Drosophila melanogaster: one gene and its partner. The protein of the gene in region 1 interacts with the protein of each later gene in a pairwise test. Each region holds a gene or a part of one and is shown in the gene's direction. Other genes may lie near its edges.

Region 1 (7,943 bases):
GATTATTCATAGATCGGAGTGAATTGTTCTGACAGGTGACTGCTGATTATTATCTCGTCTATATTGAGTAATATAAATATTAGCTAATGACTCATGATTTGCATACTGCATTTCCTGTGACTTAATTTTTGTTGTATGTATGATGTTTGTTGTCATGTATATTCCACAAATGTAACTTTGAGTGCAATGAACTTTTTGTGGCTGGCAAATTGGGTTAGCACATGCAATGTATCCCTATTGCCTGGATTTATGTCAACCTCGAGCACAATTAAAATCAATAGAGAGCGCAGTGAAATCATTCAGGTGTCTGACAATTCCTGCAGGACATTCGTCAGTCACATTTATTGCTGGCTAGTGGAAAGTTCGACAATGGAGCTGCGTCGGAAAATCGCTCTGCATATTCTGCCCCTATTTTTAGCCATATTTCTATTCACCATGGGCGAGGCATATCTGAAGAGTGTCCGCGTGGATGAGATTCCCTTTGCCGGAAGAAAGGCCCTGGCCAATCGGCGGTCCAGCGGTATTCATCTCATCTCCAGTCTGGAGCATCAGCGCACTTTTCTTCATCTCTTCCATGTGCCCTGTAAGTTAAGCAATCTATTTCGCAATCGAAAGTGTTATATACAAGAATGGGCCATAGTTTTTCCACATTTAACTAGAATGTTCTAGATCAAGATCTCTGTATTTTGAACAAGGATTAGAACATAGGTTTCTGTGTGATATCTTCCCAATTTACAATAGTTCTTTTCAGTTTAAAAGACATCCACAACGCATTGAAATCATTTTAAGAGACGAATACGGCTAAGCCTAAAAGTATGCTATACTTTTTCACAATTTATCATATGTCGCAAGGAAACAATGAATAAACTTCTTTAGCAACTAAAATATTTAAATTTTTATCTCCTCAAGCATATGAATACTTTTATTAAGGCTAGCAGAATTACAAATCGCTTAAATTTTTACATTTCAGACATCATATGCTTTTATGCCGCGAAGGGCAAATGGCCATATGTGCCTGGATTCATGAAATACCGGGTTGACAATGCAGCTCGCAGTTTCTTCAATCAGAACGACAGTTTCATCAAACAGTTTTGCACCAAGTGGATTCAGGTGAAGGAGTGCTTTCGTCCCTTATTCGGTGGGTGGCAACTCTTTATGGAGTTCAGACATAGATTGACCTATTTAGGCACCTCTTTCCAGACAAATCAAATAACACAGATGTTGAAGTGGAAACGCTCGATGCAAAAATTCAGGGACAGCGTTGTAATTGTGACAAATTGTTGCTCTCAACGGAGCCACCTGTACCGGTCGTCTACTTCGACAAGAACTACATTGGAAACGTCAGTTCGGAAACGATTTTGAATACCATTGAGTTTCTTGAGAGTTTCCTGCCACCGCCCACTAAAAAACACAAGCGCAAGAATCGCGTTCGCGGGCGCGTAGATGATATGGATATTGAATAGAAATCGTTCTTTTTCATTCGCATATACCTTCGTAACGCACTTAGATTTTAATCATCACAATCATAACCAAAAAATCATCGCTTAAATTTGAATTCAAATTCGGTTGTCAACAGTTTTCTAGAGATAAGTGGTACACTATCTGTAATGCTCAGAATATTATGGCAAAATAAAAATTCTTTAATTAACAGAGCGCAACTTAGCTTGTTAATATAGATTCTTGTTCATGTTTTTGTATTAAATGTAAAAATATTTATTAAAAATTGCTTTAAATGTTTTTTATCGATAGGCATAGCTATACCGATATTAGTCGATAGATATGCAGCTGGTCTTAGTTTATCGATAGTACTATCGAAATTGTCATCGCCAATTGGATTCTGGTATATATTCGCGGTCGCCGGACGGTCACACTTATTGCACTTACTCCAGTTGGAAAGGCAACAGTGTTCGCGTCGCGGAAGAAACAAGAAAGAAAAACAGCGAGAAGCACTGCAAATGCATTGGCTGCATTTAAAGAACAACCGCGATTAGAGGAAGTGTCTCAGTACACAGTCGAATTAGCCATACAAATTGGCAAAAGTGTTATAAAAGAGAAGCGCGGTGGTGTGCCAACAGCCCAAGAGCAAATTCTTTTGCATTCGCTTTTGAACCGCTTTCATCGCGAGTTCCCGTTTCTCTGTGTGCGTGAGCAAAGAGCGTGTGCAAATAACTTTTTGCCGCGTTGTCCGCCTGCTGCGAATTTCCAACCGAAAGAGGACAGCGAGAGCGCGAGAAGAGAAGAGAGGATCGAGTGATCGGGTGAATGTCGCTGAAACACCAGAAGCAATCCTACCAACCGCTCCCAACGGCGGCCGCCATGGACAATCCGGCGATGATCCAGAGCAGCGGTAGCAGTGGGAGCAGCTCCTCTGAGGAGGGCGGGAGTCGTGAGGATGTGGCCAATCTATCGCCGCTCGGACTGCCTACGACCTACTCGTCACAGCAATTGATGCCCTCGGATACGGACAGCATGGAGGAGGAGCGGCACCGACTGCGTCCCCACCACCATCACCACCACCCACTGGGCGAGCACCACCACATCCCGGGCATACCACCATCCGCCGTCGTGCCATCGCGTCTCTCCAGCGTGGGCAGATCGCAGTGGTTCACCGTTACCGTGCTATGCTTCGTCAACCTCATCAACTACATGGATCGCTTTACGATCGCAGGTGAGTCCGGTGATACCTCTTTGGGTGTCCTATGGGATTCCATACGTTTTTTGGGGGGCTTGTTGCCGCAGTAGATAGGAAAATTTGTTGACACTATTGAAGAAGATTGCTATAGACCGCTGTAAAAATCACAACTTTTGTGTGACCAAAAGATTGGGCAGCCCAAAGCACTTATAGTATGTATTCATTTATATATCAGGCAAAAGAATAATAAAAACATTTAAATTGCACAAAATCTGCTGACAAAATCATAATGTTATTAATTAGCAGCCGCTAATCAACAATACTTGTGACCTAATCAGTTGAAATTTATACCTCATCGTCGACAATGCGAGTCGTCGCGTTCCCATTGTTTACAAAATGTACCATAAAGATTGCGAGCGAGAGAATTTGATTAGTGACTAATCTACTTACAAGTGAATCACGCGATCCAAAAATATTCATACAGAGCATTTTATCATTCGATTCGCTTTGCACCGAAACTCGGGACATTTCCACTGGGTGGGCAATCAATCAAGACCCATTTCGCCTAAACCTAAACATATGTATATTATTTCTAGCACTCAGGTGCGATAAAATGGAGTGAGTGAGCACGGCGGTGGCGGCACCTGACCTGCTTAGCACGGCGGGTAATGGTAGTTGCGATCGGCGATCAGAAAGTCCCCCGCCCGCGTGACAATTACAGGGTAATCTCATGTTTCAGTCGATAAATACAGACACACTGCCCACATAATTGTTGAGTTTATTATTATTAAGAACATTAGCGAAGGAAATTGATCTTAATTCATGCGGGCGGCATTTCATTGGACACTTGTTGAGTGCCGAAGTTCTTTTCACTGTTTACTTGTGTCTGGAAAATGAGACTACTACCGATTGCACTTGCACTTCGACTGGCGACATCTTAGTTACACAAAACGCGGTGCAAATCGATTGGAAACTTGTTTCAGGTTACATGGCGAAACAAGTTGTGACTGATTATTATACGTACAAGTCCGCCTCAGACGACCGTTTAATATGCATTTCTAAATATGTGTATATTATAGCTATAGTTTCGCATTTTCTTCGTGAACCTGAACAGCCAGTTCTTCCTGAGTCAGCAGAACTTTTCCACTCAAGGCCATGTGATAACGTCTTTTACTGTATGTGTAGTTGCAATTAATTTGCAATTATAAATCACTGGCTATTAGTTATCAGTTGATTGCCGCAGCGGCAATTGGAAATCGATCTTACAACCCTTTTTTTTCGGTTGCAAATCATAAGCTTTTGATTCGTGTAAAGCCACCGGATCGAGTGACTAAAAAAACATCATACGACTTTTTGCAACAGAACAGGAAGTGGAATTACTCACCGAAAAGGGGCGATAGCACTTACATACCGAGCCAAACAAAATCGCTGTTTACATATTATATTTAATATAAACACACATCGCTACTCGCCACTCGGAAATTTTCATTATTTCCATGGGCGCCTAATTGATTGTTTATTTTGAGAATTCTGCGAGCGCAAGGCGAAATAGAAAACTCATATAAACAATGGTCGGTCGCACAAGGTTTTTGTTTTGCCATTTCTGCCAGTGGCATTGTTATCATTATCAACCCCCCCCCCACTTTTTTGGGCCTTATCAAGAAGTGGCTGAAACCAGACGCGCTGCATAATCAATTGCATTGGATCACCAGCTGCAGTGCACGTGGTGTTTTGGGTCACTTTTTTGCAGTGATTAGATTACCAAGCGATTATTTGTTTAGCTTCTGCTAACTGACTGCTCTGATTGCTTGGCCCTTTTGTATTTAATGTGAATTTCGGCATTTGCAACGTTTCCGTGTGGTTGTATATAACAAGCAAAAATACATGCATACATATGCATATATTTATTTGGCGCACATAGACGTGTGTATCAGCTGATGTCTGCCCAACCTAATGGAATGCATTTAATTATAATTTTAAGTGCGTCTCGGCCTTTGGCTTCGACCTCCGACTTTGCTGAAATTCGCCTGGTTTTTTAAGCTAAAACCGACCGACTGACGGTAGTGGTGTGATGTTTTGTAACCACCTCGTTCGGTCAAAAAAAAAAAAAAAACACTGGGAAGCCCCCCTCTTCATTCATGATCGTGATCTGTGTGAGGGTGGATGGGAAGGGGGGGGCGGGGCTATTCTGTTGTTGACAGTAAATTCAATTTCTGCACCGACAGCGAACTTTGATCATCGCAAAAAGAACTGGCATTTATTTTGGTCAACAGATATGTGGGCTGAGATATATAGACCAAGTTGCCGTTCTGCTATGCTTCCGACGTAATTTTCTTGGCCCCCATCCAAAGCAAGCGATCACAATAATTGTCTATGTCAATTGATCGAGTTGAGATTTCGGTGGCATACATATATCTGTTTTTAGTTATTTTCAAGTCTTTTGCAATCACTTTTACTTTTTTTTTGCCATTTTTCAACGTTTGTTTTGCATATTTTGCATTTGTTTAAACCCAAAAGTCACTGAGTTCGGTTTTTTATATATTCGCTTTAAATGTTTTTTTTTCTGCGAAAGATACATAAAAACTTTCCATTTTGTTGCCATCGCAGTTGGGGAAAGAAATAACAATGAAAAGAAAATATAAAATATGCAGCCTTGACAAACCGAAATTGTCAATACCCTTGGAAAATAACCACCAACTGAGTGAAATTACTCACACTGAAATTTACTGAATCAATTCCATTGCATAAACATTTGTCCAAACGATATTTCTAAATATGGCACAAACTTGTGGATAGTTTACTTACGTATGCCTCAAATTTGAATAGGTTCTTTGGTTACACAAAACGCGTGGATGTAACAAATGCACATTTCCTTAGCGTATTTTGCATTTTTGTTTGAGGCTTGCGCGCTCATTCAACGTCAATGGTTCTATTCTGCATTCAAGATACGTTTTTTGGGTCAACGACCTACGCAAAGTGCAGTGCACACTTTTTGCCGCAACAAATTCAATTAACGAAAGGCAAAAAAACTATCCGAAGAATAGTAGAAAAAAGGTTGGGGTAGGGAATGTCTGGAACGCGATGGTTGGGGAACACTTTTCTGTGGGCGCCGCCGCTTTCACAATTAATTTCCACCTGGCCCGCCGAAAAGAAAGCAAGAAAGTTTTTCTCTAAACACAATTCGAGTGCTCCGCTAAGCATTCAAATGCATTCCAAGCGAAAGTCACAGCCTCAGTGAGTTTTTATCTTTTTGGTTTTCGTTTTTTTTTGGGTTTTGACTTCGACTCGTGGCCGAAATATCTGTCAGAAATTCGTCGTTTATTCATCGTCCGATTTTAAAGCTTACGCTGCATATCGCGCGATTTTTCAAGGCCGACGTCATCAGACGCCACAGAACATGGGGGGTCAGAGGGAGATAGACTGCTGTTGTGCCGAAAGAGAGGGAGAGAGTGACTGAGAACAGTCACTTTCGGACGCAAACAACTTTTTCATTCATTCATGGTAATGAGAGTCCCGGCTTTGTTGTTGTGGCTTCTGCAGTTGCCTGGTTATAAATATTGGCTTTTTAAACGGATCAACGTTCTACAGATTTCTCTGGCCACAGTACAGTGCATTTTTATAGTAATAAGCTTCGTTGAAATTGGAAAAATAAAACACTTCAAAATTTCGACTTCTGGAATTTGTACTGCTCAAGTAATAGAAATTATTTTGAGATAAACGTACATACATTTCAGAGTCTTTTAGTAAATACCACTAGTCATTGTCTGGTTTCCAGAAAGTTCCACCTTTGGGGAAGTCCAAATATTATTTGTAATAAAACCTAGCATTGCGAATCCCACTGTCGCGTTTATTGGGCACAAGAGAGAACAAACCAAAGAGAGAATTTGGCCAGAGAGATAAACAGGTTCTAAAAATGCGGCAGCCGGCTAAAAAAGAATACTAATACTAAATACATTGACGAAACTTCCCCAAAAGTGGGGAAAATGGTAATGAGAGGGAGGTATGTATGTATCTACGTATTCCTTTGACTTCTTTTGTTTTTGGCCAAGAAGTGCCCATAAACATTAGGAATTCCTTGCGTGGAATGAGATTACTCGTTAAGTGTGCGAGATAGCAATAATATAAATATACATATGTATATATCATAAGGAATGCCTCACCCAGACCAGCCCCACTGTGTCCCCCCTCCGCCTCTCTCCGCCAGCCACTCTCAGTCCACAATCGCAATGCAGTACACACACACACGCACACAGACTTATCGCGTGGCGTCCCCCAACCGTTACGTCACTAGGCAAGGCAAACAAACACGCTGATTGGTCGAAAAACATCGTACGATAAATTTCTCAAATCGAAATGAGCGAAAAGACCCAGAAAATGGAATAATTAAAAAGCAAAGGCTGATTCACTGCAACTTGGCTGCTTCGTGCCACGTTTCGCTTCGGTTCGCGGGGGTTCGTGGAGCTTCGGCTCTCTCTCTCTCTTGAGGTCTCTTTGCGGCTCTCTTTTTCGTTCGCTCGCTCTCCTTCTTTGGGGCACAACTTGTTGAGCTTTCTGTGTGTCATTGTTGTTGCTGCTGCATTTGCCGGCTTCTGATCTCAGACACTCTCTCTCTCCTTCTCTTCCCCACTCTCACTCTCTCCCATCGCCCACTTGATTTTGTGGGCCGTTGTTTATTTTTGGGTACTCAAGCACTTTAGGTAGTTATTTTATTTTGGCCATTCCGCAAAGGCCAATGTACGAAGAGAGACGCATAGAAATACGGAGCTTAATAGCGGTTTTTGTTTTTATTTTGAGCTGCATGTAGAATGTAGGAAGTAGCGTTAGATCGGCTAACAGTTATTGACGAAGGTCGTTTGTCAATTAATTCGCTAGTTGCACATCCGTTTGTTAATGAATTTTTAAACGTCGCAAAGCTGAAGACGAGACGTGCAGGAAATACATGACCACACAGCTGAGAAAATGTGTGCGAAGGTGATCGCAGCGATCGATATTCAAATCATGACACAGATTTTCATCAGATCGATACATTGATTATCGGAGCTACGAAATAACTAGTAAGATAATGATATTTCGATATTTCAACACTTCGATTGTTACCAATTGAAAAGCTATCCTTCAGCTGATAAAAAGTTGCGGATCTTATCAGTACTTACTATTCGAGACTATAAACAGCATGATTATGATATATTTACATTTTCAATGTTATTTTAAGATAAATAATGACATTGAGATCCAACATATTGTCACACCCTTGACTATCGATTGCAGATATTATTACCACTACAAAGATATCGACAAAAATGGGCGTTGT
Region 2 (7,870 bases), on another chromosome or scaffold:
TAATCGATTCGACTTCCTCTCAATTTCTGTTTTGTTTTATTCTGTTTTTGTTTAGTCTTAAAGCCCCCCCCAGTCCATTCCCTTCTGCAACTTGTTAGTCATTATATACACAGATCACTTACACTTAGGCGAGCTTCAGGCGGCTGGAAAAGGGGAATGATTGGGGTTTCGATCGGGAAGAAGTGGAGTTGTGAAGGCGCCGCTTATTAACTGCGATTAACTGCAATGTAGATCAATCACTTTTGTAGAACCATTTAATGACATTAAATAAAGTATTTTACGCATTGCTAGAAAACCTCAGACCGGCGTCTTTCTATCTACTTGTGGAGGTGAAATGTAATTAATGATATGGGTATATGGCGTTTATGACAACCATAAAAGATGGCCAGTAAAGGTTAAGAGTACAGGTTACCCAGAGGGTGTTAATCATATAAAGAATGTCATTGTTGATATTTTAGTAGGAATGCAGAGCTCTTAGCTTTTTATTTATATATTTTGAATCGTAGGCAGGCCTTTTACATTCAGTCGCATAGATCCATTTCGAAAATCAGTCTTTCCTTTTCGGCACGTCGTCAAAATCTGAATTCAAAATTCAACATATTTATTTTTCGTCAAAATTAGGTTTCAGTGACTGAAAATTTCTAAAAACGTTTTCAACACATAACAAATTCTTTGGTATAGTAATTTTGTCAAATTTCTAGTTTTTAAGCTTTTATATGAGAATGGACAAGTCGGAGAAACGCTCTAATCTTGCTGATAACTTCCTGTATATGTTGGAGTTCATGGTGGACGATCTGCTGATCACTCGTCCCAACCTCTGCGCTCCGGAGGAGTATCCCACTTGCACGGAGATCACGTTCCGTTCGGTTTTCCTGAACATCCGCGATCGGGAGAACGGAAGCTGTGTCAACCCCTGTTCGCCCAAGTGCGGCAAGTGCACCCTCTTCACGCTGGAATCGCCGATCACGGACGAGGACGTGATGCACATTCACGTTTACAAGAAGCGCACGGAGAGCTGCAAGTTCCTGCTCGGGCTGACCGAGCTGCCGATGAAGCCGATCTTCGATAGGGTGAAGAAGGAGTTCTATTCACAGAACATAAACTGGGAGAGTAACGTCGAGTCCCATTTGTCGCGAATGCCCAAGCTGAGGGGCCCCTGCAAGAAGGCCAATGACTGTGTGTGCTACGAGAGGAATAGGGAGCGGCGCGAACAGTGGTGTCCCACCTCAGAGCTGACCAAGCGGATGCTGCCGCTCTTCAACCTCTGCAAAATGCAGACGGGCAATATAGTGCTGATCCTGAGACTGGTGTGCAATGGGCCCTCTGTGGTATCCTCCTTCCCCGTCCAGAGACCAGTGTGCAAGGATCCCTGCAACTGTTGCTGTCCTTGCCCGCCCACTTGGCCTGCTCCCTGTTCGTCGCCATTCGATCCCTGCGATCCTTGCAAGACCGTGCCAGCCAAGAAGACATGAGTAGGAAATGCAGCTGCGAGCCTTTATATTCCGTACTCATTTAGTTGCCATAAGCATTTTTATTGTTTGACAAGGGATGCGCCTAGCAACTGATAATCATTCGCATATCTTAACTATAAATAAAGTATTTGAATAATTTTTATACCAATTCTGGTGTTTCAGTGACTTGAGGAGGCTATTGTCCATTATAATATAATTTAATATTAAAATTTATATATATGTTAGAAATAAGACCTTACTAGGCATTTTAGGCGTAATAAAATCTACATACAGACAGACTCATCTGCCTAAAAGACAATCTTAATATCGAAAATCAAGGAATCAAGTTTTCAAAATTCATCCGATTCCAGTAGCCCTCGCAAATCCAGTCGGTTTAGCAGTTCGAACACCACAGTCTCCCCGTCTGGACGGCCATTCAAAATCAGAATCTAAATTCAAATTTACTCACAAAATTTTTGGAAGTGCGAGTGTTCGGGCATATAAATTTCTAGTTTCGACAAAACAAAAGCCTAGCCAAAATTATTTCCTTTGAAAATGGACAAGTCTGATAAAACTGAGAAAACTGAGAAATCCGATAAGTCTGAGAAGCCAGAGAAACCTCCCAAGATTGCAGGAAACTTCCTCTACATGTTCGAGTTCGTAGTGGACGATCTGCTGATCACACGCCAGAATCTTTGCGCTCCGGAGGAGTATCCAACCTGCACAGAGATCACGTTCCGCTCGTCGGTTTACGTGAATCTCTGCGATCGGGAGGTGGGCACGTGTGTTAACCCCTGTTCGCCCAAGTGCGGCAAGTGCGCCCTCTTCACTCTGGACTCCCCCATTACGGACAAGGATGTGCTGCAGGTGCATGTCTATAAGAAGCGCACGGAGAGCTGCAAGTTCCTGATAGGACTGTCGGAGCTAAAGGTGAAGCCCATCTTCGACAGGGTGAAGGAGTCCTTTGACATCGAGAATCCTGACTGGGAAGACGCCATGCTGGGGCACATCGCCCAGCTGCCCAAGATGAAGGGTCCCACCAGCAAGGGCCTCCTGGACAACTGTGCCTGCTACGAGAAGCTGAACGAACGTCACGAGCAGTGGTGTCCCACATCGGAGTTGTCCAAGCGACTGCTGCCCCTCTTCAATCTCTGCAAGATGCAGACTGGCAACATAGTGCTGATCCTTAGATTGGTGTGCAATGGTCCGACCATTGTGTCCACGTTCCCCTTCAGCAAGGTCTGCTCCCGCAATCCCAAGTGCCCGGAGCCCTGCTGCGGTCCTTGTGGCCCCTGTGGTCCCTGCGGCCCCTGCCCACCACCTCCCAGCTGCGGCTCGTGCCCACCGCCTCCTAGCTGTGGCCCACCATGTCCTCCACCCTGCGACCCCTGCGATCCGTGCGATCCCTGCAGTCCCTGCTGTGGCGGCGGAACTGCCACCGGCGGGCCCATGGATAAGAAGGGCTGCAAGGGCTCGTGTGCCCAGCCTCCTTGTCGTCGCTGTACAATGGTGGATCCTTGTGCCAAGCGAGTTGAGCCTCCGGCAAAGTGCCTCAGGTACTACTCGTGCAATCTGGACAAGCTCTGTCCCTGTGACTACTGCGAGGACGAGTTCGATAGAGGTGACTATAATCTATCATCAGCATATATAAATGCTTCCTTTTAATGATGTAATGTATATACTTCTTCCCAGAATGCCCCACTGTTCCCACAAAGCGTTGCAATCTCTCGCCGATCGAACAAAAGCTGCAGAAATGCGGTCCCTGCGGCGGAATTCCACCGTACCCACGCTTCATCCAGGAGAAGATGCAGGCCGAGCTCTTGAACAAACCGGAAAAGGATCCCAAGAAGGACAAGGATGGCAAAAAGGGTGGCAAGGATGGAAAGGACGCAAAGGATGGAAAGGGTGGCAAGGACGACAAGGGCAAGAAGAAGCGTCAGGCTGGAGGTGCTGTTTGCCGCGTAGGAGACGAGAATAGTCCGTCCGCCGTCTACGAAGACTGCGATCCTGTCTGCGCAGGAGTCCTCCAGGCGACCAAGAAAATTCGGTACAAGGAGCCCACTGTCAGGTGCAACGGACGGGAGGAGGAGTACGAAATGGCCTGTGATGAAGGTGAGCTCATATATGTATGTATTTAGAAAACGATTTCAACTGGGATTTCGAGAATGCCAAGTAGGCTTCGAAATGAACAACAACACAAACGTCTCGTAACTCCAGCGAAACATTTAGTAACATCTAGTAGTCGGGGTGTAGAAGATCACTCGTTTAGCATTTGTTTTATACATTCGAACGGGAAATGTTGTCTGCCGCACAAAATACAGAAAAATAAAATCTTTCGTTGTTGTTACCCGAGTTTTGGATGGAAATTAAAACAGAGAATCAGTACGTCCGAACTATTTTTTTTCCTATCAAGTTAAAAAATTTTCGAAGCGATCCACTAACCCAAATTCAATTTTCATTTCAGCGCGAAAACGAGCTGTGCGGAAATTGCGCCACTTACTGGTGAAGTACAATATCCAAATTGAGAATTGAAGGCTTTCGGAATTGAGATTTCAGCTTGAGCCTAGTGAATAATTGTATTGACTTACACACTCAATCACTCAACCGCACAACATGGCCAAGAAGAGGGGAAGAAAGGGCAAGAAGGGCAAGAAGCCAAAGGTCGACTGCAAGTTCAAGATCACCAATGAGATGCTCAAGCCCATGAACGAGAGTAAGTACACGCGGATCCCTGCACCGAAGCTCGGGCTTAAGGATGATTCATCCCTTCCAATTGGTATCCTCAGATGTGGACGACTGTGATGGCTGCTGTCAGTGCGCCTGCGATTGCGACTGCAGTCCGGAGTTGGCTCCCTGCTTCATCCAGCCGACCAAGCCGGATCCGGGTCCGGAGGCGTACGACGAGTTCGAGGCCTGCCTCAATGGCAGCGGTCTGACCATACGCGTACTCAAGAACACCCACAAGGTGGAGAGCGTGATGGATGGCAGCGAGACTGCGCCCAATCTGGGCGCAGGCGATGATCCCTGCTATCGCGATGACCCCAATGACTGCGAGCCCGCAAAGGAGTCCTGCCTGCACGATATGCTCCAGCGCAGCTCCTTCGCTCGCAACCACATCAAGCGCCGGACCGGCGGCCGCATCATCAACCACCCGAACATCCCCAAGGTGCGAGCCAATATCAAGTACTCTGGGAACGATGCCTGCGAGACCGACAACTACTACGTGCCCTTCTCGAAGATCAAGGAGGCCTGCGACTTCCAGGAGGCCAAGGTCGACTGCTACCGCCAGCGACTCTGCGGCGGATCCGATCCCATCGTGCCCGCGCACTGTCCCGTCCAGAACCAGCGATCATGTTGCATGCAGGTCGAGCGGAAGGACATCATGGACACCATGAAGGGTGTCAATTTGGACACAAGGCGCAAGGGTATCGAGGTGAGTCCATCCTATATTCATTTGCGCAGCACTGAGTGGCCTAAGGAAATCCATATTTCAAGAATGTTCGATCTTAAATCATTAACCACAATCGCCGATCGCCTCCGCATTCCATTTTTTAAGTTCGCCAGTTACGTGTGCGGATGCGGAATGTGGATCGATTGGTAGTCCGTGACTTTGCCCCCCTAAACGTTGTTGCAGGTGGTGCAACTATGCCACTTCTGCCACTTCGGGAAGGCTTTCGATTGCCTCAATTGTGGGGCAGTTGCGTAACATCTGCCAGCTCCAAGTGTGGAGCACTCTTTTCAGTTTGCGGTGGCAATCCGCTACAGCTTTTTTATTTATGGTAATTTCTGCGAAAGATGCAACGCGTTGCATTGAGACTATTTTGGTTAGCTGTTGCATAGTATCTAAAAAGATTTGTCGCTTTTCTTATTTTTCAGGTTTGCTACAAGACCTGCGAGGAGACCGACAGCGACGTGTTCCTAGTAAAACTGGGAAGTAAGGCCAAGTCGCAGCACAAGAAGAATACCATCGAGATCGAGCTGCGGACGCCCAAGCAGCCCGTAACCCTTCCGATCAGCAAGGTGACCACGGAGACCTATGTTTCCGAGGAGATGCTAACCGGTGGCAAGAAGGGGAAGAAGGGCAAGAAGGGCAAGGGCAAGAAGGGCAAGGGCAAGAAGAAGAAGTAGACCAAGAGATCCGTAGGCGGATCCCATTCCCATCGACCGGACTTGACGCTTACCCTTTCGGAACACATCCTTTGGCATTTTGGAAGCGACTCTTTGAAAATTCACAGCAGCAATTATTGAAATTTGGCTCTGGTACTAACCCATTCATATTAACCCGTCCAGTAAGATGCACGAACACTCACTTTTTCGACTAGTTACGTAAATGTATGCTTTTGATTGAATTAAAATTAAGAAAAAAAAAAACAATAATTCTAGTCCCATTTATGATTAGTTGATCTGATCCCTCACTGATTGATCTGATGTAGATACCCTAACCCGCAGTAATCTGCTTGCAAGTGTATATGCCCATCTTCATTAAGGGCACTTAACTGCCCAGTCAAGGCCGCGGAGGTGTTTCATCTGCAATTGAGGCGGGTCTAAAAATAGCCGACAAAACCAATTCGCGATGCAGAACTCTGATGCCGATCCGATCCGATCCGACCATCTTCATCTATTGCACACCTGTAATTAAAAGCCAGAAATCTTCGCGGGAGGGAGCATCGAGGAGGAGGAAAAGCCGCCGTTGGATGCAGCGGCAGCTTAGCGGTTTGGTCACTTTGCAGTGACTATACTATACGGAGAGGGAGAGATCCGAGAGACCAGAGATCGCAGATCGGGCCAGCTGACCGATCCGATCGGTGGCTCGGAGAGGAGTCGAGCGAGGAACTCGTTTTAGTCGCGTTCAAACGCTTTAGTCTGTAAGTTAACACGGCGAGTGCGAACGCAGGAAAGAGTCGAGAAATCGTGAAGCAGTGCCCCAGCCTAGATGTTAACCATTCAGCGGATCGGCCCCGAATGTGAGCAACTTCTGAGATCGGTCCACGACAGACCACAAAACCAGTGAGGAGAGACCATCCGCTCCAGTTCGCTCGATCCAATTCAATTTCTGCCTCTCGCCGCGAAAGCGGAAAGAAAGTGAATTGAGTGGAGTAGATTTGGGCGATTACTTAATCCGCGTTCGCCTCCACGACCAGGCATCGGACGAACACCGGGCTCCCAGTCCGAATTCGAGGGCGCAAATTAATGGCCCTCGTTTAGAGACTCAACCCGCCCCATCCAGCGTTGACAGTTGGGCGGAGAAAAGCATAGTATTTGAATATTAAAAACTAAATCCGAGAGATACCACAACATTTCCCCAAAACTTTGATAATTTAGAAAGCGAAGCTGCATACCAAATAGGCCCCCGATCTAGAGACACCCGAAAGTCCAACCTCCGACGGTCAGTTGGCTTTCAGTTCCAGCTCGAGATCGCAGGTTATAGCATACCACAGCCGACTGGCTTTCCCCGGTTTTCGGTTACGTGCATCCGAGAGGTCTCCGCCAAGTGCAGTTGCAACTTTTACTGGTGTCTAAGATTCGCGTGAAGAGTGCAAATCGGTGATCATGATCCGCCCCACACTTATCGTAGTGCTCATCTCACTGGCCAGTGTCGATTCCGGCCACAACTCACCCGTGACCACCATCCCGGTGGCCGAGCCCATCAGCCAGGTGCCCCACGGCTTCCAACTCGGCCAAAACAATCACATCAGCAGCAGCAGCAACATTAGCCGGAGTGGAGGCGGAAATGGCCGTGATAAGAGAGGTAAGTACTTGGCCCCTTTGAGCCACTTTTCCAAGTGCCCCCATTGTGGCCATCCGTGTCAGGGTCGGAGCCTCTCGGTCTCTGTGATGGACATCTTCGAGGGGCCCTCTCGATTGGTTCGCAAATACTAACGATTGCTCTTGGCCGCACTGCTTTGAATCGAGCCTTTTCCTAATGTGGTCGATGTTGGTGGGCATTTCAAGGGTTCTGCGCTTAAGGAATGCCCCGTCAATCACGCGATTAAAAACATAAGTAACATATGAAGTTCTATGCAAAAATGCATTCGCCAAGGTTTATTTTGAAAATCTTTCAAATCGAGTTATTTGTTATTAATAGTACAGATCATAATAGAATTCATAATGAAAGAGAATCGGATTTGCATAAAATATCTCCACACATTTATCGCTACTTTTTCTGCATAATACTTAAAATTCGCTAGCTCATCGTGCGATTTTCACATATGTAGTACAACAAAAAAAAAGCAGATTTCGGCCAAAAACGTACTGGCTGTTATTAAAATGCTAATTGTGTTTCCCCTGCACCATTTGGCATTTAAATATTTTAGAATTCATAAGCATATGACTGCTGAGCAGCGAATCCCAATCAAATAGATTCACTCCGGAGTCCAACTTTTGCACCGGCTTAATCTATCTACTAATTTTAAATATAT

The links.
Region 2: the proteins of spin (region 1) and CG9133 interact in a two-hybrid assay, tested with the Drosophila melanogaster proteins (one large-scale study listed by BioGRID).

Annotation. Positions count from the first base shown.
Region 1 is NT_033778.4:16,123,115-16,131,057, forward strand, and holds the start of spin (spinster), read left to right. Parts: upstream 1-1,866; 5' UTR 1,867-2,262; coding exon 2,263-2,668; intron 2,669-7,943. Other genes in the region: CG30095 (uncharacterized protein), read left to right, coding at 370-583, 971-1,138, 1,201-1,463. UniProt on the Drosophila melanogaster protein: Probable sphingolipid transporter that plays a central role in endosomes and/or lysosomes storage. Involved in TGF-beta-mediated synaptic growth regulation both pre- and postsynaptically via its function in endosomal storage regulation.
Region 2 is NT_037436.4:1,250,161-1,258,030, forward strand, and holds CG9133 (uncharacterized protein), read left to right. Parts: upstream 1-1,851; 5' UTR 1,852-2,006; coding exon of another isoform or gene 2,007-3,072; intron 3,073-3,143; coding exon of another isoform or gene 3,144-3,563; intron 3,564-3,692; exon of another isoform or gene 3,693-3,833; intron 3,834-3,915; coding exon of another isoform or gene 3,916-3,983; 5' UTR 3,984-4,064; coding exon 4,065-4,164; exon of another isoform or gene 4,165-4,206; coding exon of another isoform or gene 4,207-4,237; coding exon 4,238-4,884; intron 4,885-5,327; coding exon 5,328-5,579; 3' UTR 5,580-5,826; downstream 5,827-7,870. Other genes in the region: Bfc (booster for Crq), read left to right, coding at 717-1,472; CG9130 (uncharacterized protein), read left to right, coding at 2,007-3,072, 3,144-3,563, 3,916-3,983; tfc (triforce), read left to right, coding at 7,002-7,200.